3 linked regions of the Drosophila melanogaster genome follow. The protein of the gene in region 3 purifies or fractionates together with the protein of the main gene of each other region. This does not show direct contact. Each region holds a gene or a part of one and is shown on either strand. Other genes may lie near its edges.

Region 1 (9,237 bases), on a different chromosome or scaffold from region 3:
ATACGCGCACCATGCCCTCCATTCCGGTGGCTTTGTTGTTGACTGGGAGCACAATGAAGTTATTATACAATAGCTTTTAAATTAATTTTAAAATTAACACAAGGTAAATGGGTTCATAAGTATACATAATAATTAAACCATCATTCCCCGGAAGCTCTGTAAAATATTGATTGGGACATGATTCCCATCGATAAATTCAAGAATCATTCCTTTTTTATAAAACTCAAGAATTGCGAGAAAAAGTTGTCACACATAAATAAAATCTAATTGGTCAAGAAACTGCAATGGGATATAAATTACTTACCATTAATGGCGTACGCCAGGTGCTTGCCATCGCGGTGGACAGCGACCAGGTGACCCGGATAGTAGTACTTGCGCTCCCACTTGTAGTCGACGATGTTCTTTAGCTTGACCTTGGAGGAACCGCGTGTGTGAACGCCGCCGGATGTGAGGACCTTGGTCTTATTGGATCTAATAACGCGGCAACACTGCTTCTCTTGCGCTTGGAAATGGCTGTTAGGCACAAAAAAAAAAGAATTAATTAAGCAAGGGCCGTCTATTGGATAACCGGTGATACGCACATGACTTCTATTTCCTGGGGCTCTGCCGCATTGCCGTTGGCGGCAATCGGCTTGTCCTGTTCGGCGCTGTTGCTCATCCCGGATGCTGCGTCAATGGCTGAAGCAGTAATGCTGATGCAGGCGTCTGCTGGCGGTGGATGGTACGCGGTACTTGCTTTGCCACACCTTGGCGACCGGTGGACAGACGGCGGCGGGGAGGAGGAGGCTGACAAAGGCGTCTTACGAAAGATTGGCAAGTGTGCAAGCGCGAAGAGCGCGATTAACATTGACACATCGGCTGACTGCAGGTGGGAGGATGATACGGCATGGGGGTACACATTATTAATTTCGCCAGTTGATGAACAGCAACGACTCGCACACCAACCTGCCCTATCAATACGCAGCAGTCGAATGGTCTCCTTTACTCCTGCTAAATGCACCCAGCCGGTACTTGGTAAAACTGGCCTCCAGCAATTGATCGTCTACTTAGCGAAACTAAACCATTTAGTTGGCTGCTTCTCGTAAACTCACAAATTTTCGCAAAAAACTTTTTTTTTTTTGCCGCAAAACCATAGAGGTGTGTAGCGGCGTGTGCTAGGGCAATCGATGGACAGCGTCTGTTATCGGCGACGCGGATGCCAGGGATGGACGCTCAGCGAAACGTTCTTTCGAAATCAAGAAAACACGTTTCGGTTGCACTTTCGTTTTATTGCATTTTAACATCAACTTAATACATTTATCTTTATTCATAGAGATGTATATCCATCAAAACAATACACATTGATTACGCAGCGACGTAATAATATGTTTACATAGTGTTTCAATATCACTTTTTCTTTTCATATTACATTTTGTTTCGTTTCTCTTGTGTGATTGTGTGTGGTGGTAGGTCATTGAAAATGTTTAACAAGTTGAAGAAAAACTCATATATCTAATGGTTTAAATATGCAAAAGATGTGATATATGCCGGTATGTCTGATAAATTCAAAGTTAGCATATACGTACAGAATCAGTGGTCCGAGTAAATCAAATTTGTCTCCTGTTTCGGTAGAAAGAAATTTTGGTAATTGTAGATAATATCAAGTGTTATTGTGTTTTATCGTGTACACTATACAGATAGAAAATATATTAAGATGTATATATTTTTTGAAAAACCTAAGCTAAGCTTTCAAGGAAATGAATTTCTTTATCGATTTTTTACCTTTCACTTTTCTAATACTTAAACATTAAGCCTGGCTTCTTTTTAGGTTCGTTTTTTGTAGTTCTTATTTTTGAGTTAATGTTTTTTTTGTGGTTTTTAATTTTCATTGCCGGAATGAATAGAAGGGACATTTTCGAGGCATACACAAAACAGTAATAAATAGCAAATGGAGAAGTAAAATGTCTTCGCAGCAGGAAATATTACACCTGGGATTGGACCACTTTGTGGCAGTTTCATTAATCACTAGGGTGAGGGTGAGATACGGAGTGCGGAGTGGCTGTCAAGCGAAAGAATTGTGTGTCATTTACTCGTAACAATTAGGAGAAGCGCATATACATATATCTCTAAATATACATATACATACATATATAAATCGATCTGCATAAATATCTATAGAGGCGGCATTATTGTTGTTGTTCTCGCATGATTTGTTTTGTGTTCTTGAGATTTAACTAGCCTACAAATTAAATTAGCAACTTCAATGCATAAACGGACGAGCTATCAGATCCATCGCTGGTGTTTCTACCCGCTTAAGACTGAGCAAGCTCTTGAGTAAACAAATGGTAGTTACATAGAAGCTGTTGGAACTTTCAGATCTGGCGAATATTTATCTGCAGACTGTGTAAATATTTTCACAACGAAATTTTACGAGCCTACTCAAAGATTTGCCCAGTCTTATCGTTGTGTAAGCACCTCGAATCGTAAATTGTGCTTGCAACATACAGAAACAACAAAATAAGTGTTTAACATAAAGGTGAATCGATTTCTTTCAGTGCATGAACAAATGAATTAATACTAATAGCATGAATTCATTTCAGCTATTTGCCTTAAATCCGAGGATTTCATATTAAACTTGGTCGTTATCAATTTTTTCTCCGTTTTTGGTAATTTCAATTAGTATTCAAATTTAAGGGAAACTAATTCGTAGTTTTTCTGAAATCTTACGCCCAATATGTATCTAATGCAGTTTAATGTGCAGAAAAGAGGGAAATATACTAATAGCTTAAAGAAAGTATAACAAATTATAAGGAATGTTAAATTTTGGTTCGAGACACTTAAAATGGTCGCAAAAATACACACACAGGCAAACGAAAGTCACATATCGCCCAAAAATAAATCGATTCACCCTCATTCACATGATCATTTTCGCTGCTTAAACGTTGGTATAAGCAGCTCCTGCCGAACCAGAGGATCCACCGGTCACGTTTGCTGTCACCGGTGCGCAAATCGAGGAGCTCGTTCGCCCTGTACTATCACTGGCATTAAGTCCCTCCAGCTTGAGACGCATCTCCTCCTTGCGCGTCTGGACGCTCAGAAGTTCGTCACTTAAATCGTTGCAAAGGTGGAGCAGTGAGTTGTTCTGCTCCCGCAGCCGTTGCAGTACTTCCGTGGTATTGGCCTGACCCTGTTTGAAGGACACGTGACGTAGCGAGTCACTGATGGCGGTTACTCGCTTCTCAAAGCTCTCAGCACTGGGCAGCTGACCAGTTTGGGTGGTCAAACCAACAGCTGGAGCCGGCGGTGGCGGCTGCTGGGGCGGCGATTGCGATCCACGTGGCGTTTGCGGCTTTCGGTAAACCTCGAAGGCAGAAACGCGCTGCTGTGCCTGCTGAAGAGTGATTCTTGTGGGCGGCACCACTGCTGCCTGTGGCGGTGGTGCTGCCGGCGGCAAGGAGTGTAGCTGCTGCTCGTCCACCTATAAGGTCAGAGTACCAATTAGTAAGACAATCATACAAATGGATGCGTTTATTTATATAAGCTACTGAATTTGGACACATGACACTAGTGGAGCTACGGCCAATTGTAGTGGAATGCTTTACGAGTTGCATACATTTAGGATTGGACTTACGACGTTCGCGGCGCCTTCGTCGGCAAAGTGCGTGAAATCGGCAAACCCCGTTGAGGTTTGCATATCGAAGCTGGCCTGCGCGGTGATCTTAACAAAAGGGGTTCCATATTTATATACATTTCACAGGTTATAGGTAGGTAGTTAGGCAAAATCAAGCAAACAAAAAACACAAAAACAATATAAGCAAATTCGGTTTCCCGAAGTTTACGGTTTCCTTTGCAAATGCTTAACAATTGTGGACTCTTAAAAGACACTGTATTTTCATTTCAATAAATTGAATCTGTAGCAAAACTGTATTCGCCTTCATTTGCACAGTACACCACAAATATTGAAAACAGAGACGGAACACACGGAATGTTTTGGAAGTTCCTTAGTTTGTTATAGCATTGCAGGGGATAAGTGCGGATCTACGAAATACTATCCCCTACAAGGCTTTATTTAATGACCAAGGCATATAAAACGACACAGATTGAAATTCTCAGATAAAATTGGAAATTGTTGGTCCATAGGACATAACATACCTCCGCCTGTTGGGCACCGCCCGTTGCGCCTATTTTAAACTTGTTTAAGTCCAGACTGCTGCTCCGTGCATGACGATGTGGCCTTGGCGGTGGCAGAGGCGGTGGCTCCTTCTTCGACGCCAAAGACGATGCCACGTAGGCAGCCTGCGGTTCCTGCGACTCACTTGGCCCAGTGGATCCGATACTGGGCTCGCGTTGCGGTGGCGGTGGCAATGCACTGTTCTTGGCCGGCAGCTTTTTGGCTTGAGGCCGTTGGATGGCACGCAGATCGCTGCTATCGCGGTGGGAGGAGCCAGCGACTCCCGATATTCCGGGTACAACAGCAGATGACTGATTATTGACAGTAGTCGAAGAGATGGCCTTGGGACTATCCTCGCGCTGAGCCACCGCGCTCTCGTTTTCGTTAGATGACTCAGCTGAGGAAGCGATGGCGGTGCCTACAGATGAGATAAGGAATAATTATATTTATATTCAATTTATAGAATACTATTTTAGTTCTTCTACTCACCAATGGGCGTCACTCTTAGCGGCACTGGGTGCAGAATCTGCGGATTGGATACCACGTCTTGGGCCGAGCGCTTCATATCAAACAGGACTGGCTTGAGCCCGGGACTAGATGCGCCAGAAGCGGCTGCTCCGGCTGCTACAACAGGTGCTGCCCCAGTGGTTGACTGTACCGAAACCGCACTTGTTGTTGGAGATTCGCTAAACTTTGTCCACTGACTGGAGACGTTGGTCGAGTCTACAGCGCTTGCCGTAGAGGAAACAGTTCCCGACACAGGTTTTTCCACATTCGGCGAGTTTGAGATGCTTCGGTTCTTGCCCAAAGAATTCTGTGGTGTTGCCTCACGTTTGGAACTGTTGCTAGCCTGCGAGGACGTGGATATGCTGCTCAGATTCATGATGTTCTTGTCGCTGGGCACATTGGGACGCGGTTTGCTGGTCGTACTGCTGCCGCTGAGATTGCCTGCTATGATTGTATTATCCGTATGGTCGTCCTCATCGTCATCATTTAGGTGCAGGAGATCAGCCTCAGGTGGCTCCTGAGGCAGCGCCGCCGATGACGAGGATGTCACCCCCTGTCCACTGCCGGACGCAGCTGCTTGTAGCACGTTGGGATGCAAACAGTGGGGCAGACTTGTGGGCAAGGGAATGTTGTTGCGCCGTAGAACCACCAAATGCATGGCGGCCGTAAACTCAGACAGACTTAGCGCTCCATCGCGGGTAACGTCACACAACTGCCAAATGTGACGTAGCTCCTCCACAGGAATGCGGCTCTTTTCAAAAAAGTTTCTAATAAAAAAAGGAATAAGAAAATAATAAGAAGAATAAAGTTATAAACGTTCCTAAAGCCAACTTACCTTGCTGCTTGGCCCGAAAGCAGACCATGCGGATCCCTTTGCACCGTCCTGAACTGCTTATTATAGTACTCGCGCTGTTCCGGGGTTATCTGGTAAATGGTCACCAATTCGCTCTCGTTGTCATCGTCGTCGCTGCTGTGGCGATCGGAAGACTCTTCCTCCGTGCCTAGCAGCTGGCGATGCTCGTCGCCCAGCAAACCCTGCCAGAGGGTGTCCTGCGCCCAAGGCCGCTCAGCCACGCTGTTGGTGGGCGTGGGGCTGTCACTGTTAGTGCTCCAGGCTTCTGGCGATCCACCACCAGTACCGCCTCCTCGTCGTCGCTAAAAGAGATAAGGCATGGACGGGGATCGGTCAATGGTAAGCTTATTTACAAATGTCACAAGATAAGATAGAAGTACAAACCCCGACATTTTCGCGGCTGCTGCTGCTGACGACCCCACAGCCATCCGTACCTCGTCCATGGCCTGTCGCATCGTCCACTGATTCGTTTTGCTCAACCTCGGAGTCGGTGCTGGGCACATCAGAGGTGTCTTGCAGCTGCTCTTGCTGCGAGTTACGACGCAGTGAATTTCTGCGATCTGTGGGTGGTGGCGGTGGCAAGGCAGTCAATCCATTTTCGACAGCCACCGGAGCTGTAACCGCCTCCTTCCAGCTAAAGTGCGGTAATGGAAGCGGAAACGTGGCCAAGATCAGCTCCTGGCGCAGGGGCATGGCCGCCTGATGAGCAGCGATTAGCTTCAGGCATGAGTAGAACTGTGTCCGCGAGATGTGTAGCGCCGTGGAGGGTATCCCCGCCAGACCGGTGATCTATAAGCCCAGACCCAGATAATTAATCACTCACGATCACACAAATTGGACCTACCTCAATCACGGTCTCATTGGCGATGTCCGCCGAGCGAAAGAGCTCGGTGGCCTTAAGCATGGGCACCTTGCCTGTCTTCTCCACGTCGCAGCATTGGAACAACTCACTGTAGAAGCGCGTCTCCGGCTCAGTGAGGGACACGTCCATGCCTGTCGCCTACTTGTTGCCGTCTCTGGTTTCGTTTACCAAGCCGCTGGTTAACGAGCCACGCCCCGTTCGTCCGTCCTGGACCCGGAATCCAATTCGTTTGTTTACTTCCACGTTTAACCCAGCAGGCCAGTGCCGACCCCGCTGCCCCGCGCTGCTCACAACCAGAAGTCTGATGATTTTCTGCCTTTGGCCCCCAAGACGGAGTTGGAGGAGGTGGAAGCTGGGAGAACTGCGGGGACGATGGTTTCGCTAACTTCTTGGTGCCACCACAACCACGATGGTTAGAGGATTCACGGCACTGGTCGACGAGGGTACACCTAGTGCCTCAAGCTGCTCGGCGCACAATCAATTTGGCTTTTTGTCCAGGTTTTTTTTCGCAAACTCTTTTGCACTGTGTGTGCGCTGGCTCTCGATATCGATAGGTTGCGGTATCGATTCGATTAGACAGCTGGCGCGGCAGCCCTGTACCTGTTAGCGTTTCGCAGCCCTAGTTACCGGCAAAAGTTTAGTTCCGCAGGATTGATGTTTTGTAAGGTGGCTTACCATGTTCATTTATATTTCATTATGGATTAAACTATAATAAAATTTAATGTTGCTGAATGAAGAAAAAATCATTTCTTCATTATTTTTAACGATATTTTTTTAACCGTCAACAAATTTCCTGTAGCCCTGTGCCACTGACGTCACCAATTCGCAAAGACTTTCCTGCGTCACCTTTCGTTGCACCACAGTGATCCCCACTCTGTTATTGTTGTCTGCGGCTGAACTGTTGCGACGCAAAAATTTAAAGGATTTGAAAGTCTTTATAGACTTATTTTAGTTAATAAACAGCCTCTGTGCAATCAAGGATGTTCTCCAGAAAGAAGCCAGAGCCAGCGAAAAGAAGGCAACACGATTTATCGCAGGTGAGAGGAAAAACAAACAGTCTAGATCCGTCTATTTATTAATTATGACTCATCGTTTGGACTGTCTTTTTTGTTTTTTGTGTTTAGTTCGGTCTTACGGAAATCCCAGATGATTTTGATCCCAGCGCTGGATATGGTGAGGACGATGGGGGTGACAGTGATTTGGAGGCAGAGCTTGCGGCCATAACCGGCGGAGAAGGAGCCAAGCCAAAGCCCAAGCCCAAAGCAAAGCTGTTACCCGCCAGTGATTTGGACAAAATGATAGCCGACAGCTTGCGTGATGTCAGCGACGATGATGATGATGACAATTTGGAAAGCGATCCGGATCTTCTTGGCGAGCTGAGCGGAATCGGTGGTCTAGAGGAGGCAGAGGAAGAGGAGCCTGTCGCACAACCGCCAGCTGCCTCTGAGGAACCCGTCCAGACCTTTCTGCCCACGACGACTGTGGACACATTAAGCATTATCAAACAGCGCCTGGAAATGTACAAGCAGGCCGAGGCCAATGCCAAGACTGCCGGCGATTCTGGCAAAGCAAGGCGATTTGGAAGAGGCCTTAAGACTCTGAAAGATCTGCACAGGCAGGCAGCGGCTGGCAAGTCCATTAACGTGGATGACATTCCACCTGAAGTCAGTGTAAAGCCAATTGGCGGGCAGGCTCCTCCAGTGCCTGCAGAGGAGTCACCAGCTCCTTCCACACCTGCTTCCCCTCCGCCTGTGCCTAGTCGTGCAGCTCCAGATCCACCAACCCCCGGCACCCCCGTGGAGCCCACTACATCTGTGGCTCCCACATCTCCCCCTAATCCTCTTGTGACGCAAATGCGCAGCCGCCAGACGGACTACAAAGCTGCTGCACTGCAATCTAAGCGCAGTGGTGACATATCTACTGCCCTTCAGTTTCTCAAAGTGGTCAAGCAATTTGACGTAGTTATAAAAATGTGTGAAGACGGACAGGAAGTTGATTTGAGTGACATGCCCCCTCCACCAGCTGAGTTTCTTGAATTCCTTAAAAAAATGCAAGAAGAAGCAGCCGCAGAAGCTGTCGCAGAACCTACTGCTGCCCCAGAACCCACACCTGTTGCTCCTGCTCCTGTTCTAGCAGCTGCAACAAATATGTTGGAGGCTCTGCAGCAACGTTTAGAGAAATATCAATCTGTAGAAGCGGCAGCCAAGGCAGAAAACAATAGCGGAAAAGCAAGACGCTTTGGAAGGATTGTGAAGCAATACGAAGATGCCATAAAGTTGTACAAGGCAGGCAAACCAGTGCCTTACGATGAGCTGCCTGTGCCACCAGGTTTTGGACCGCTGCCTACGGCTGATGCTGCTCCTGTCGCGCCGACACCGTCGCTGCCCACTTCGCCTACATCTCCACCGCCAACAGCAAGTACTTCCGCAGGAGGAACACCCTCCAGTTCCAGTGCGACGACACCTACAGCTCCTCGAAAAGCACCTTCACCTCCTAAGCCCAAAGAGTTAACAACACGCACGTCTGGCAATCAGCAGAAGAATAATATTGCCGAGCAACAAATGAAACTGCTCCTCGAGCGCCAAAAGGAGTTTAAGCTAGCTGCTATAGAGGCCAAAAAAGCGGGAGAAATAGATCAGGCGAAGGAGTACCTCAAGATCTTCAAGGGATTCGATTCCCTTCTTAATGCAGCGAGTAGTGGATTGCCAGTGGACCTCAGCACTGTAAGTTTTGCATTACATCTTCTTCTTGTATGGCTAACTATATATTTTTTTTTTTCAGCTTCCCGTCCCGCCTTCACAAAGGGATAATCTAGAAGCCTCCTTTGCCATTGTATCTGCTGAGGAATGCGATCCGACAGATGAT
Region 2 (7,488 bases), 4.6 Mb from region 3:
GTTTTAAACTTAATGGCTGCATATGTGCTACATCTAAGACCCGTTCTTGTTGCTGCTAAAGTTGTAGGCGAAACTGAAAAGAATGGAATTTTAGAAGGCCCTATTTATCAAATTAATTCGAATTCAAAACCTCATACTAATCGGACCATAATATTCTAACTTCTTTATCAAAAATATACCCAAAAGATTGGAAAATGCCCAGTGTAAATGATCTAATGAGGGAACATCTTTTAATCAAAACCACATTTTTATGACGGTACTTTTAGTAGTGCAAACAATTCTAAATTGTCAAGACCTTGTCCGTTTACATTTGATTCACTTATTGGAGAAATGAAGGCTTGCAGGCGCAAGGTTATCTTGAATTCTGCATAAGATAATGCGAAACCCTTCAAGCGGAACTCCTCGTCTTTCTTCCCCTTCCCACGATTGATTTTTCACAAGCGCAAAAAACACCCACGCACATCTCGGGAATTTGTGGCCTTCGATTTGTCCCTGATGAACAGTTAGGCGGAGAGTGGAAAACCGATCGACACTTGTTTACAATCGCAAAATAGTAATAAATAGAGAAAAGCCGTTTTCAAGTTTGCCATAACAACAACTTCAGTGTGACGCTGGCTGGCTGAACTGGGTAGGGGCGGTGTGGGACGCGGACGGCTGTCCTTATGCGGTAACACTTAAAATGAAGTTACGTTCGTGTGTGTGCCGCCAGGCTGTCTACGCTCCCATTCGAGAAAACCGTTGCTTTTACATACATACATGCACAAGTGTAAGGCTCTGCGGGTGGTGTAGTGCAGGGGGATGGGAGAAGCGGGTGGTAGGCCTTAACTAACATAAGATGGCCACACTTTCACGAATCGATCTTTCGTTCATAAAATGCTACAACTACACTACAGCCCATTCACACACATTCACTTAAAAAAATTGAATTATCCAAGCTCACACAATCGCACGCGAGTACCCACAGGTGTAGCTGAACTTTTTCAACGGTTACCACGATTAGCCGCTTTCTTTAGACACAAAACTCATACATTCTTTGCACGTCAAAATCGAAATAATTGTGATAAAAGCAAAAACAATATATAAAACGAAACGAAATGAGATTCTATTTTTAAAAGGTGCACTCACACACGCGCGTACGTTTGGCAGTGAAATGTGTGAGGGAGAGGGGGCGAGCCAGGGTAGTAGTAAAACAGTGCCGAGATTGTGCGCGCGAGCGATGTAGCACTATTGGCTACACGGTCACACACACACACACAGGCGCCAGGCAGCGTACGAATTACGCAAAGTGAAATATCTTTCTCAAAATGGAAAGTGGAAAAGTGACGACGACGGCTATTAGGAATTTTTCATACATCCACGGAACACAAAAAATGTACAAAGGCAAATGCGTATATAAAGTGTATAAATTCATACTAAGATAGAAAACAAATGGGCGAGGGGATGGGTGGCGAAGGTGAAAATTTGACCGCAAAACGAACATCACGAGGCGAACGAGGTCGCGCTGCCGAAAGTCCCGTCTCTTAATGATATCCCACAAATTTTAACGCCAGCCAAGCGACATCATCGTTTTGCACCGCAAAAGGGCCTTTTTCCGGTCGAATTAAAGCAATTTTTTTTTGCACAACACAGAACTCACTTTTTAATCCTATTTTTTTTGCTAGTGTGGCCGCACGCCGAAACGAAGTCACCGTCACTAGATTTTGAAGATAGGTTAACTGTTCTTCGATAACTATCGAAGAACTATGCCTGATGCATGTATGGTTGGTGTACTTGCTAACAGATGAGCAGAGGCCTTCTTAATGTTCCATTTACACAGAATTCCATCATATGGGATTTGAAAAATATGCTTCAAACTTAATAGTTTTTGCACAAAACGCCAATCGAATTATATTTCCAGTTCCAGGGAAAAGATTTCTGGGTGGAAATAAACACACAACTTTCAATTCTTAATTAGACTAAAGTCAAGCCTAGAATATTATATATTACAGTTCAATATAATTTAATACAGAATTTTGTTTTAAATAAATAGTATTTTGTTTATCTGGTATATAACAATGATTTTGCACAAGGTATTTCTTATAGCTATCTGCGCGGTCACACTGTTTTTGTGTGAAAATTCTGTCGAAAAGAATGTATTAAAAGTTCTTTGAATACTAATTCCGTGTAATTCCGACCGTGCTGTTTCAGAAAACTGTGGTTGGATTGGAAACTTAACCAAATTATAAGGTAAAACCGGGGCAGCTTGCCCATCGAAGGACCGCCACAAACGAATTTTCGCGTCGCATTACGTTTTAGTGTTGCCACCTTATACGGAGTGCCGGGCACAATTCCACTTGCTGGCCAAACGGATGCGTTGCGGTCGCGATGTGCACGCCGTTGAATTAATTCCTTCGCCCTGTTGATTGAGTACAGTTCGACTTCTCCGATCGGTGTCCTCCAGACCTAAATTTCGCCGGAATAACGACGGCAAACGGACGGACGGACTCTAGTCGGAAAACGGGCGAGCTGGCAATACTGCCAGTGCACAAAATGATGTGAATCTCGGAAAAGAGGAAAGCTACAGGAAAAGCCAAGGAAAAGCAAGCCGGTAAAGTGTGCAAATGCGAGTGGCAAGCAAAGACCTTTGTTTCCCATTCCATGAAGTTTTCTTGAGTTGTCCGCTGCTGTGAGTGGTCATTATCAGCCATCATCATCATTGTCGTCATCATCACCAAAGGAGCTCGTCGTCATTAGGCCGGCCACCAGCTAAACGGCATTGAGAAAACTCAGCAGCACCTTGTCATCCAAGTCTTGATCTTCGTCTTGGTCTGGATATCCGTATCCAATCACACAGTTCAGGTGGGTTCTTGATCCAGACTCCGAATTCGAATACGAGTCCTAGATTCTCATGCTGATCCTTTTCCATATCTACAGTTATGTCCTCGACCGCCGGAAAGCGCAAGGAGATCTACAAATATCTCGCGCCATGGCCACTGTACTCCATGAACTGGAGTGTAAGGCCGGACAAGCGATTCCGGCTCGCACTGGGCAGCTTCATCGAGGAGTACAACAACAAGGTACAGATCATCAGCCTGGACGAGGACACCAGCGAATTTAGTGCTAAGAGGTATACCGAATATTTGTTTAGCTGATCCCTTCTACTTTCTGTTTTCATTTTATATTTCGTATATTATCTTTAAAAAATAATATAAAATGATAAGCAGTTTTGATATTATTGTAATCATTTTAAATATGAATAGTTATTTGGTTATACGAACCATTTTTCCGAAATCCCCTTCCTCACTGACAGATTATTTCTTCTTCAAATAGCACCTTTGATCATCCATATCCGACAACCAAGATCATGTGGATCCCGGACTCCAAGGGTGTCTATCCGGATCTGTTGGCCACCAGTGGCGACTACTTGCGGGTGTGGCGTGCCGGGGAACCGGACACGCGGCTCGAGTGCGTACTGAATAACAACAAGAACAGCGACTTTTGCGCTCCCCTCACTTCGTTTGATTGGAACGAGGTGGATCCCAATCTGGTGGGAACCTCATCGATAGACACAACCTGCACTATCTGGGGACTGGAGACCGGACAGCCGCACGCTCGCGTCTATGTGGCAGGACACGTGAAGACGCAATTGATTGCCCATGACAAGGAAGTATACGACATTGCTTTTTCGCGGGCCGGCGGCGGTCGGGACATGTTTGCCTCGGTGGGAGCGGACGGGTCGGTGCGCATGTTTGATCTGCGGCACTTGGAGCACTCGACCATTATATATGAGGTAAGTAGAACGCGCGAAAACACAAAAACGGATGACTACATAACGATAAATCCAATAGGATCCTGCTCATACGGCGCTGCTGCGCTTGGCCTGGAACAAACAGGACCCGAACTACTTAGCCACCGTTGCCATGGACTCGTGCGAAGTAATAATTTTAGATGTTCGTGTTCCTTGTACACCCGTTGCAAGACTGAGCAATCACAGAGCGTGCGTCAACGGTATTGCGTGGGCGCCGCATAGGTGAGACTATAAGATTCCTTAAACCTAAAATGTGCCTAAACAATTTGTATTTTGGTTTGCAGTTCCTGTCACATCTGCACTGCCGGTGATGATCACCAAGCACTGATCTGGGATATACAACAAATGCCACGTGCAATCGAGGATCCAATTTTAGCCTATACAGCTGCCGAGGGCGAAGTCAATCAGATTCAGTGGGGTGCCACACAGCCCGACTGGATAGCCATTTGCTATAACAAAGCGTGCGAGATCCTGCGGGTCTAAGTAATTTTTTTTGGTCTGGTCCTTGCTGAAGCACCTGACTGCAATTGCTGAACAACGCACAGTCAACAAAGAAGCAAGTCAGAAAAACACACAACACCCACAAATAAACATACATTTGCTGTTGGTAACTTGGAAGCGGAAAGCAGTGAGCTTAAGTTGGATTAGTTCTGTCAACACGCGTCCGCAGTTTGTTTAATTTTACTGTCTGTCGAGAGAGAGAAAATGTGAAAGTGACGGATATAGAGGCAGAGAAATGGAAAGAGAAAGGGCTTAAAAGAAAGATATGAGTTTGAGGGAAAGAGAAGAGGACGAAGCACTTATTCTAGAATTCTTAGCTGAGTTGATCTAACAAGTATGTAATTATATAAGGTATAACCAAAATATGTTTTATAATTGTAGTTTATTTCACACTTGACAAATCCCGACACTCACACCCCCGAAAACTCCAATCAATTAGAGCCGCTTAATCTTTTTTATTTCGTTTTTATACGAACCCAAATGGAATGCAGAAGAAAAAGAAATCATATTTATTATAACACAATGTCCTACCTCGTTTTTTCAAACATGAATGCTGTTAATCGAGTTTTCGAGTCTGGTCAAAACAGCAACAACCACAAAAATACACAGAGAACAAAAAATGAGAGGTAAAAAAGTAGCCGGCAACAACGCTTTTTCGAAATATTTTTACTTTGTTCGATTTTTGTAACAGATCCAAAAAACGGAAAAACGACAAAAACAAGAGATAAAGAAAAACAAAAGCAAAACCATGGACTTAAGCAATTGCAAAACAAACATAATATGAAATGAATTAAAGAAATAAGCGAAATACTTACATAGATTAAAGATTAAAAACCAAACCAGGAAACTGATGACGAACTGCACACAACACAGCTAGAATACAATACTATTTAAAGATACAAACTAAAAGATAAAACAAATACCGAAATATATGAGCGAGAGAGAATACAAGATTGTTGCTATATCCATTTAACAAACGAGCGAAAATAAGCAAACAAACTATGATCATTTCAGATAAGACACGACCCTCCATCAATAATCTCAAATCTTAACCACATCCCATACTTTCCACAGGACAAAGCGACTTTTTCAGATAAAATCGAATACATTTTTTTTATGTATCTTGTAATTTATAGCAATTTCACAACTTATATATAAATATGTATACAGAAAGCGATAGCAGTAATAATAATCCCGATGATCGTGTATTGTAAATACAGCATGAAAGGCATATTTTAAACGAAAACCAACTTAGGCCCTGATTTTGTATAGCCATTTAAGAGGCCACTTCACGGGAATTTATATCCTCATATCCGAATACTTTTTCGTTTGCTGCAGAAGAGTAAGAAACTGAAATCAAGTCTATGGAATTTGGAATTGGATATATTTTATACGCTCGTAGCCACTAGGCGAAGACATTTTCATTAATTTGGCAAACCACGGTTTCCGTAAAAAAAATAATCGAAAAAAAACCAAGTTAGAATATAATTTTTAATTTAATCTTTATTTTCGTGTGCCCTGTTTTGCATTATCCGACTTACGTTACATTTATATATGAAATGTATATGTACACAAACACACACACACACACACACACACACTCAAGCGCATATATATATGAGCATCCGATCGGGCTAAAGTATTTACTAGAAAGCTAATGATTGATCGATGGAATGGATGGATCACAAAAACCAAACAAAACAAAAGATCACTGAGGAGTTTGAGAAAACAAACCAAATCAGACAAATATTTAAATAAACCATTTTTAAATAATGAACACAGTCTCAAATTAAATCGGGAAGATCTTCGGGTGCACAAATGTTGCTGATGTCCACTACTCCTCCGTGAAACGCTTCCTCCGGTTTCCCATCTTTTTTTCCTGCATCAAAAGGGGCGGCAGGGCTACATGAAAAGGTAGCTAGGATTTGTGGTTCATGATATACAATGAACTGGATGAACTTACCTTTTAGTCGGGCTTTTCTTGGCTATCAGCAGCTCGTTAACTTTTAGCTTCTTAAGATTGACCACAAGGTGACCTGTAATCTGGGAACGCTGCACAGTGGACTCATCCGGCTTGACCTCCTCGCTGTACGCGATCTGGAAGATCTTTTTTTTGACGGTGACTCTAGTGTATGTGGTCTGCACATCGACGTCAATTAGAGAGGTATCCAGGTGTCTGGGCGAAGGAATATACATATGCAATATTAATTAAGAATTTTGAAGTGTATGTATATGATTGGGGCGTAGAAACGATCAAGCAATACCAATATCGATATACATATGTAATATGTTGGTGATAACTTGTAAGATATGTATAAGTTTGGTTAAGACATCTTAGCCTAGCTTACCTGTACACCTCCAGTTGGAGCAAGTAATGGTCGGCCTCATCCCGAAACTTAAAGGGCAGTTTGGCCTGGTTCAGATTGTAGGGTCTGCCACAAGGAGCGAAGAGGTTGCGCTGTGGCTTCAGAGGGTCCAGTGGGGACTTGGTTTCGTGCCGCTCCCGTCCCAATCGGTGTTGCCGAGCGATCTCTGTGCGAATCTCCGGGCAGTGCTCGCTCTTCGCCTGCCAAAAGGCCTTTATGCGCTCTTCTTCGTCCTCTATGCCGGCACAATGTTCAGCCAGAGCGGACTGCTGCTTCGCCACCCGGATACGCTGCTCATCACGTTCGATGTCCTGTTCTACCTGCTTCTGAACAATGATGGACCGGTTCTTGGACAGTTCCCGCAACGCTCGCAGACGTTCCGAGGGAGTGATCTCCACGCAATCCAAACTGTTCAGCTGTGGCAAGGTGGCCACCACGTAGTCCCTGTAGTGCGGATAATCCACGCAAGGATTACCAATGAGTACCAACTCGCGGAGATTGTAATTGCCACATAGCGACTCAACACTGGTTAGCTCTCTTATAAAGTTTAAAGTAAGATCCAGTTTACTAAGCGACTCACAGCCCTCCAGATTCTCCACTCGTTCTATGTTGTTGATGGCCACATTGAGGTACTCCAGGCGCTTCAGCTTGTGCAAGTTCTCCAGGCGCGCAATCAGGTTGGATTGGAGGAGTAGGATCTTGAGGTCGCGACACCAGTTCTGGATGTGTTCAATTACCTCGATGTCCTCCTGGTGCAAGGAGATCTCTTCCAGCGTGCTGATTAGACGTTCATTGTGCTCTGATTTCTTGCGGACCAGCTCTTCGGTGACTGCG
Region 3 (5,970 bases):
ACATATAGCGTAATACATAGGAGCCAACAAACCAAGTAAAGATTCATTAATCAGCGCAAAACCAACAAACATCATCCCCATGTATAGATTAGAGGATACGAATAGCGGCGGCGTTATGGATAAGAATAAACAGAAACGTAAGTATTATCCACTGATCCTTTTCCAAAAAAAAAAAAAAAAAAAAAACTAAGGATCATATCGCTCGGACCGCTCCAGAAACTGCCAAATATTTCATCAACCTTTCACCATTGCAAACCCAGTTTATAACCACTTCTTTTTGTCAATTGAAGTATATCCTGCGAATTTATTCGGTACAATCATTTTTTTAGTGTAAATTGAAGTTAGTTTTTATTGCCATATAGATGGTACTTTGTGCCAATCGAAAATTGTAGTGCTATATTGTAAATACGAGGGGACTGACTATAAATCAAATAAAAGTCAGTCATTTTGCAAATACACTTGACATTCCAAGATAAAAAATGGTGTTAATGTGGCCGCAGTAGTACAGCTGTAACGATACTACATTATTTACCTTTCGAGAATAAATCAGTTCAATATTACTGCTTTCGATGGCAGTGCCATGTTCTGCAATAATTCCACGCAAATGGGGCATATCACCGATAATAATAATTAGTATCAGGATCAGGTGCTATTTTAAATAATGGCCAGATTTCGAACAGCTAATTTGGGCTGCCTTTCCCCACCATTTCCACCGCTTTTCCTGCTCAGGCGAGGAATGCAACAATGTCACTGCATTCATTCAGTAAATAATATGTCCAACTGTTTGCTTATCACTCAACCGTCACCGTCTGTATTTGTTCCAATCCGCACTGTTTTGAAAAACCCGTAAGTCTATGCGGGACTTCCCCATTATTTGCCAAATATGTCGAGACTTTAGTATCCGATTAGCTGGCGCCGCCATCTGTTCATAAAGTTGTCAAGTGGTGGGTAATAGTAGTATTACAGTCGCAGTCACGTCACGATGTGAGTCACCTGCTCCGGATGCAATTATCGATGGTGTGTGATTGTTGGTAGTGGCCCTATCCCCCCCCCCCCCCTCATTCCTCGCCCAAAATGCAAGTGGCCAAAAAGGTGGCGGGGAGCGAACGCAAAATGTCGTCAACTATTTTTATTTTCGGCCGAGAGACGCGACAGACAAACAACGAACATGAGAACTTTGGGGCAAAGATCCCACATTGCGAACGGAGGATCGGATCGGATCGGATCGGATGGGATCCCTATAAATAGAGGGACTGGTGGCTATGCTCCTGCGAATCTTTCGAGGGGCCCCGAACGCATTAATTATTCAACTCTTCCATCGATTGGCAAGCGTTCAATTTGTTTATTATAAAAGCAAAATATTTTTTAATTGCTTTGGCGAAATGGAAAACACAAATTAGCTTGGCGTGTAGACAGACATTTACATAACTCGAAAGAACACAAGTTTATAATTATTTCAAAATCGTTTGGCATTACTGGGCATTTTAGTTTCGAAAACGATTTCCTATTTTTATGGCCCACTCTGCCAAGTGGCAGCTCAACCAGTTATACAGTTTTGTAACGCACTGCATTATGTACACACACTTTTTGCCTGGGGTTAATTACATTTTATTTTAATTTCACATTTCGTTTGCTTTGTTTTGATTTCCTTGACTTGCCGACGACGCAAAAGCCGAAACAAAGAAATGCATACTTACATATGTATGTATGTATGTATGTATGTATATTTGTATCTTTGCGCGCACGAGACAAGTGCGAGCACTTTCCCACCCACAACCACCCAGCGTTCCCCCATTTACCCCACATGCATTCGCTACATGTCACTACGCTACATGTCATTATTGAAATGCCATTATCAACGAAAAGCGGAACTCCCTCTGTCAAAAAAAACACTTGTGATAGAAAACAAAAGGCCAGCCAGAAGTGAGCTTTTCACCAACAATAATGGGGGAGAATACCTAAGAAAACCGATTTATTCGTTTGTGGTTAATCACAAGCAAGTGCAAGTAACTCTGTGATCAATATGGAGATACTGAAAGGTATTTACCCAACACTGTTTCAATCAGTTGAGCTTCTTCAACACCAGAGATGTGCACTCCGAAACAAAGGTCGAAAGGTATGGATTTGACCAAGAGATATCACCAAGAGATTTTTCTATTTCCCATTTACTCAAATGCAATTGTGCAACACTGAACGAGTCTAGTGTAGTGTTAATATAGCGAATTCCGATGCCAGATAGCCGGGCATTCCCTACTTTAGCTTCATGATCATTACCACGCCGAGATCGTGATGATCGTTGCTGCAATCTCGCTATCGGCGCTCGGCTTCGTTCGTGTGTTCCGCATAAGTGCAGCAAAAAAGTGCAAAAACACCAAGTGAAATAAAAGAGCAGGGAGAAAACACGGTTCCGTATAAATAAAACAGACGACAACAACAACAACAACGACGAGTGGCAAACTTTGGGGACAGAACTGGGGGAACAAAAACCGAGGCAGTTTGCGCTGAATTTTCACACGAAACAGACCGCGCTTCATACAGCCAGATCCAAATGGATCTTAAATTACTTAAATAAACTATATAAAAATAAACGAAATAAGCATATCATTTTGATTGAAAAAAGGAAGCGGTTAGTGCAAAGTGCGTTCGCGATTCCGATTGCGATTCCGATTGCCAGTGATATGTCGACGGCCCTGGTTTATTGGCAGTCAATGAATGGCGGCGATCCGGTTGACAAGGCCACCGCGGATTGGGCGCCATTCGTGGTTGGTGCAGCAGCTGGTGGCAGCTTCAGTAGCAGCATCATCACCAGCAGCAGCAGCAGCTTGAACCACCATCCGCACAACGGCCACCACAATCACCATCATCCGCCTCATTACATCAATTATTTGGCGCAAATTGGCTGCCAGCATCGTGTCAGAAATTGGCCAACAAATGGCAATCAGGATCAGGCGGATGACGACGACGCTGGCCATCAGATCATCTCTAAATTCCTGCCCAAAAGTGCCTGGGACACGGTGCTGTTGGATGTGAAGCGGGATGTAGATGAAGATGGAGATAGAGATAGAGATCGGGTCGATGGCAATGTGCTGATGGTTCAGGGATCGTCATCATCATCATCGAGAATGAAGGCGGAACGGGCACTCTATTATACTAGTAAGCCCATTGGATGAAACAGAGAAGTTGGCCTAGAAAAATTTGTTGCATGTCAGTTTAACTGACCGACAACTTTTTTTTTTGCGTTTGCACAATTAGTCAACGAATAGAAAGGAAAAGTATCTTTGCTCTCGCCACATGTTTTTTTGGAAATTAGAAATGGAGTGTTGGAATATCAAATGTCGCGGATTATCATCGAAAACACAGCTGCTGCCACTTACAGGTTTTACCCTGTTGCTTGATTTTTTCATTCTTGTTTATAACGTTGGGTCTATTTTTGTTGCACAAGCCATCAGCGAACGAAGAGCGAAGAGCAACAAAACAAAAAGAGTGAGCATGTGAAATGGTCATAGGAACGTGGGGAAATAGAATCTACAAACGGCAGAATTATGTATCTGCGCCTGCATATTGTGTAATAATTTCAGTTCAGTTCCGTCTGGTTCTAAAATTAAGGTAGAGCTTCTTTTTTACTTACCTCTGCTGGCCTGCCAATGCACAGGAAAAAAATATTGCTAGCAAAAGTAGATTCTTCGGAAAGGAAGAGAAATGTTCCAATTCGTTTTTTTTTATATGGCAGCATCATGTGCTTACTATCTTTAACTCACTAGTATGACCACCAATTCAACAACTAATTTTAGAACGAATTTTGCATCTTGAGTTAAAAAAAGAATGCATGACTCTGGGCTGGCTCTATATCAGATCTTAAATGGGAATTGGCAGTGTTTTTCCTGCGGTGTGTGTCCACACTTTTCGCCCTACCCTTTGCTTTTATTATCGTTTTGGCAACTCTTGACGCTGACGTAGTCAGGTGTGCAAGAAAACAGGTGCATTTTGCAGAGGAGCGGTGTCCGAGCGATCCGGTCAATGAACCAGCACAGAACGGCGCACAACGAAGGCGGCAAGCAAATACATCGCAATAATTATATATACACACATATATATTTGTATAATTCCCGCCGATATCTGATAGTATCTCTGATCTCTTCCTTTCTCTTACGCTCTAGTGTCCGCTTATGGGTCCAGCGGCGGCAGCGTCGACGCAGCGCAGGGCAGCGGAAGCGGGGGCGGAAGACAGCGCCACGCCCCACTCTACGGGCGATTCGTCGACGCAGAGGATCTGCCTGCCACGCACCGGGATGTCATGCACCATGTGAGTATTATCAACTAGCATTATCCTTATCTTCAATCCAAAACATGCATTTACACACAAAGGACATGCAGAAGTTGTGTTTCTTTCTTTTAGAAATTGTAGAACATTTTTTGTTTAGAAAAAATCCACAAATATTTCAACGGAGCCGTGTAAAAGATAACTTTACTTCGTTGAATATGAACTTACTTTTTCCCATGCTCTACTTAAATTAAAACATGCAATTAGAAAGGTTTATGGCGCATTTGAGAAAGCCGCGCCCTCGGAAGAACAAAGAATGGTATTTTTCAGGACTGGTTTTGCCTTTCTCAATGCGGCCATTAAGACTGCGTATTTATGTTAATAACGAAGCTTAGCAAGTACATTAATAATGTTGTTTTAAGAAATTAAAGAGATTGTGTTCAAAATAAAAATGATTTGATCTGAGCACGATCTGAGCCAAAGCTAGCTGGGCATCACTTTATTGAACAGTTTGAGTAATACGTTCTCCATCTCATTCCACAGCACTCTAGTCCCTCGTCTTCGTCGGAGGTGCGCGCCATGCAGGCCCGGATTCCCAACCACTTTCGGGAGCCCGCCTCGGGACCTTTGCGCAAGCTGAGTGTCGATCTGATAAAGACCTACAAGCACATCAACGAGGTGAGTGTGGCCCATAACTGGCGTTTAATCTGGTTAATCTACAAGCAAAACATATGAGAACCAATTGATAATTGGATATTTGATCATAAAATCCTATGTTTATCGTGGCAATATTGAGTTTGGATCATGTTTACCAGGTTCTCTTGTCGTTACAATGCACATAACTTTTCTGTTTTCATTTGCATTAGTAAATAGTGATTCTATTGATATTTTAGCTTGGCAAGATTCCATATCATTTCAAAAAGTATATTCTATCTAGTTTATGTAACTGTCTACCTTATCAATTACCATTGCGATGATGTTGTTCTTGTAGTCTGCAAAACTACGAAGGAACCTTGGCATCCATCCATCCCGATTTCTTTCTTCTTTTTTTTTTATTTACGCTTATATGTCGATCGGAATTTCGTCGGGGGCTTTTCTCGTCTTGTGGCTTTCTTTTTTCGGCTGTCTGACTATCTGCTGACAGCGGATATTTGTGGCGTTGAGCTGGGCTAAAGATACGTTTGTCCTTGACCCGTTCGTGGGGTCAATTCCCCCAACAGCGTCACCGTTCCCCCGCAGCCAGCCATTTGCAGTTGGCTTCGATTGACGTCGTCTGCCGCCTCGGTTGACAACAGCCGAAAAAAAATAAATAAATAAAAGGAGCATAAATGCTACACGCAACTGTCTCGGTTCTCCTGCCAAGTTCCCAAATTTCTCAACGAGAACGTCCCCCGAATAACTAATACTTGTTTCTTGATGGCCTCTCATGGAAACTGTCAAATGACGCTATGACAAAATGCCGCCGACCTAAATCGGTGATTATGCGCCTTGAGTGGGTGGGGCGAATGTCGCATGCCTCATAAAAATGTTAATATTTCACGCAGTTTGAGTTCTTACGAGTTGCACGCAACTTTTCCCAATAAAAAAAAAACCTTCACTTTCTGGCATTAAGGATAGCTACTATATTCTATATTTTCTTTGACAAAGCGTACTTAATTGTAATTAATTTAAACCGGCATCTTAAAATGTAGCTTATTCTCAACGGAAGT

The links. The genes of interacting proteins can lie anywhere in the genome.
Region 1: the proteins of mnb (region 3) and Reps purify together in Drosophila melanogaster (affinity purification with western blotting; one study listed by BioGRID). This does not show direct contact.
Region 2: the proteins of mnb (region 3) and wap purify together in Drosophila melanogaster (affinity purification with mass spectrometry; 3 studies listed by BioGRID, with this or other methods). This does not show direct contact.

What each region holds. Positions count from the first base shown.
Region 1 is NT_033779.5:11,099,713-11,108,949, forward strand, and holds Reps (RALBP1 associated Eps domain containing), read right to left. Parts: upstream 6,934-9,237; 5' UTR 6,502-6,933; coding exon 6,355-6,501; intron 6,300-6,354; coding exon 5,895-6,299; intron 5,813-5,894; coding exon 5,493-5,812; intron 5,425-5,492; coding exon 4,640-5,424; intron 4,569-4,639; coding exon 4,132-4,568; intron 3,698-4,131; coding exon 3,611-3,697; intron 3,458-3,610; coding exon 2,915-3,457; 3' UTR 1,251-2,914; downstream 1-1,250. Other genes in the region: Ge-1, read right to left, coding at 1-42, 305-513, 582-847; l(2)gd1 (lethal (2) giant discs 1), read left to right, coding at 7,353-7,409, 7,497-9,095, 9,154-9,237.
Region 2 is NC_004354.4:22,450,012-22,457,499, reverse strand, and holds wap (wings apart), read left to right. Parts: upstream 1-2,077; 5' UTR 2,078-2,226; exon of another isoform or gene 2,227-2,440; 5' UTR 2,441-2,838; intron 2,839-2,913; 5' UTR 2,914-2,915; coding exon 2,916-3,106; intron 3,107-3,309; coding exon 3,310-3,769; intron 3,770-3,827; coding exon 3,828-4,009; intron 4,010-4,071; coding exon 4,072-4,270; 3' UTR 4,271-6,055; downstream 6,056-7,488. Other genes in the region: tilB (touch insensitive larva B), read right to left, coding at 6,073-6,190, 6,252-6,464, 6,637-7,483.
Region 3 is NC_004354.4:17,871,588-17,877,557, reverse strand, and holds the start of mnb (minibrain), read left to right. Parts: upstream 1-2,517; 5' UTR 2,518-2,678; coding exon 2,679-3,153; intron 3,154-4,157; coding exon 4,158-4,303; intron 4,304-4,804; coding exon 4,805-4,939; intron 4,940-5,970. UniProt on the Drosophila melanogaster protein: Role in the specific control of proper proliferation of optic lobe neuronal progeny.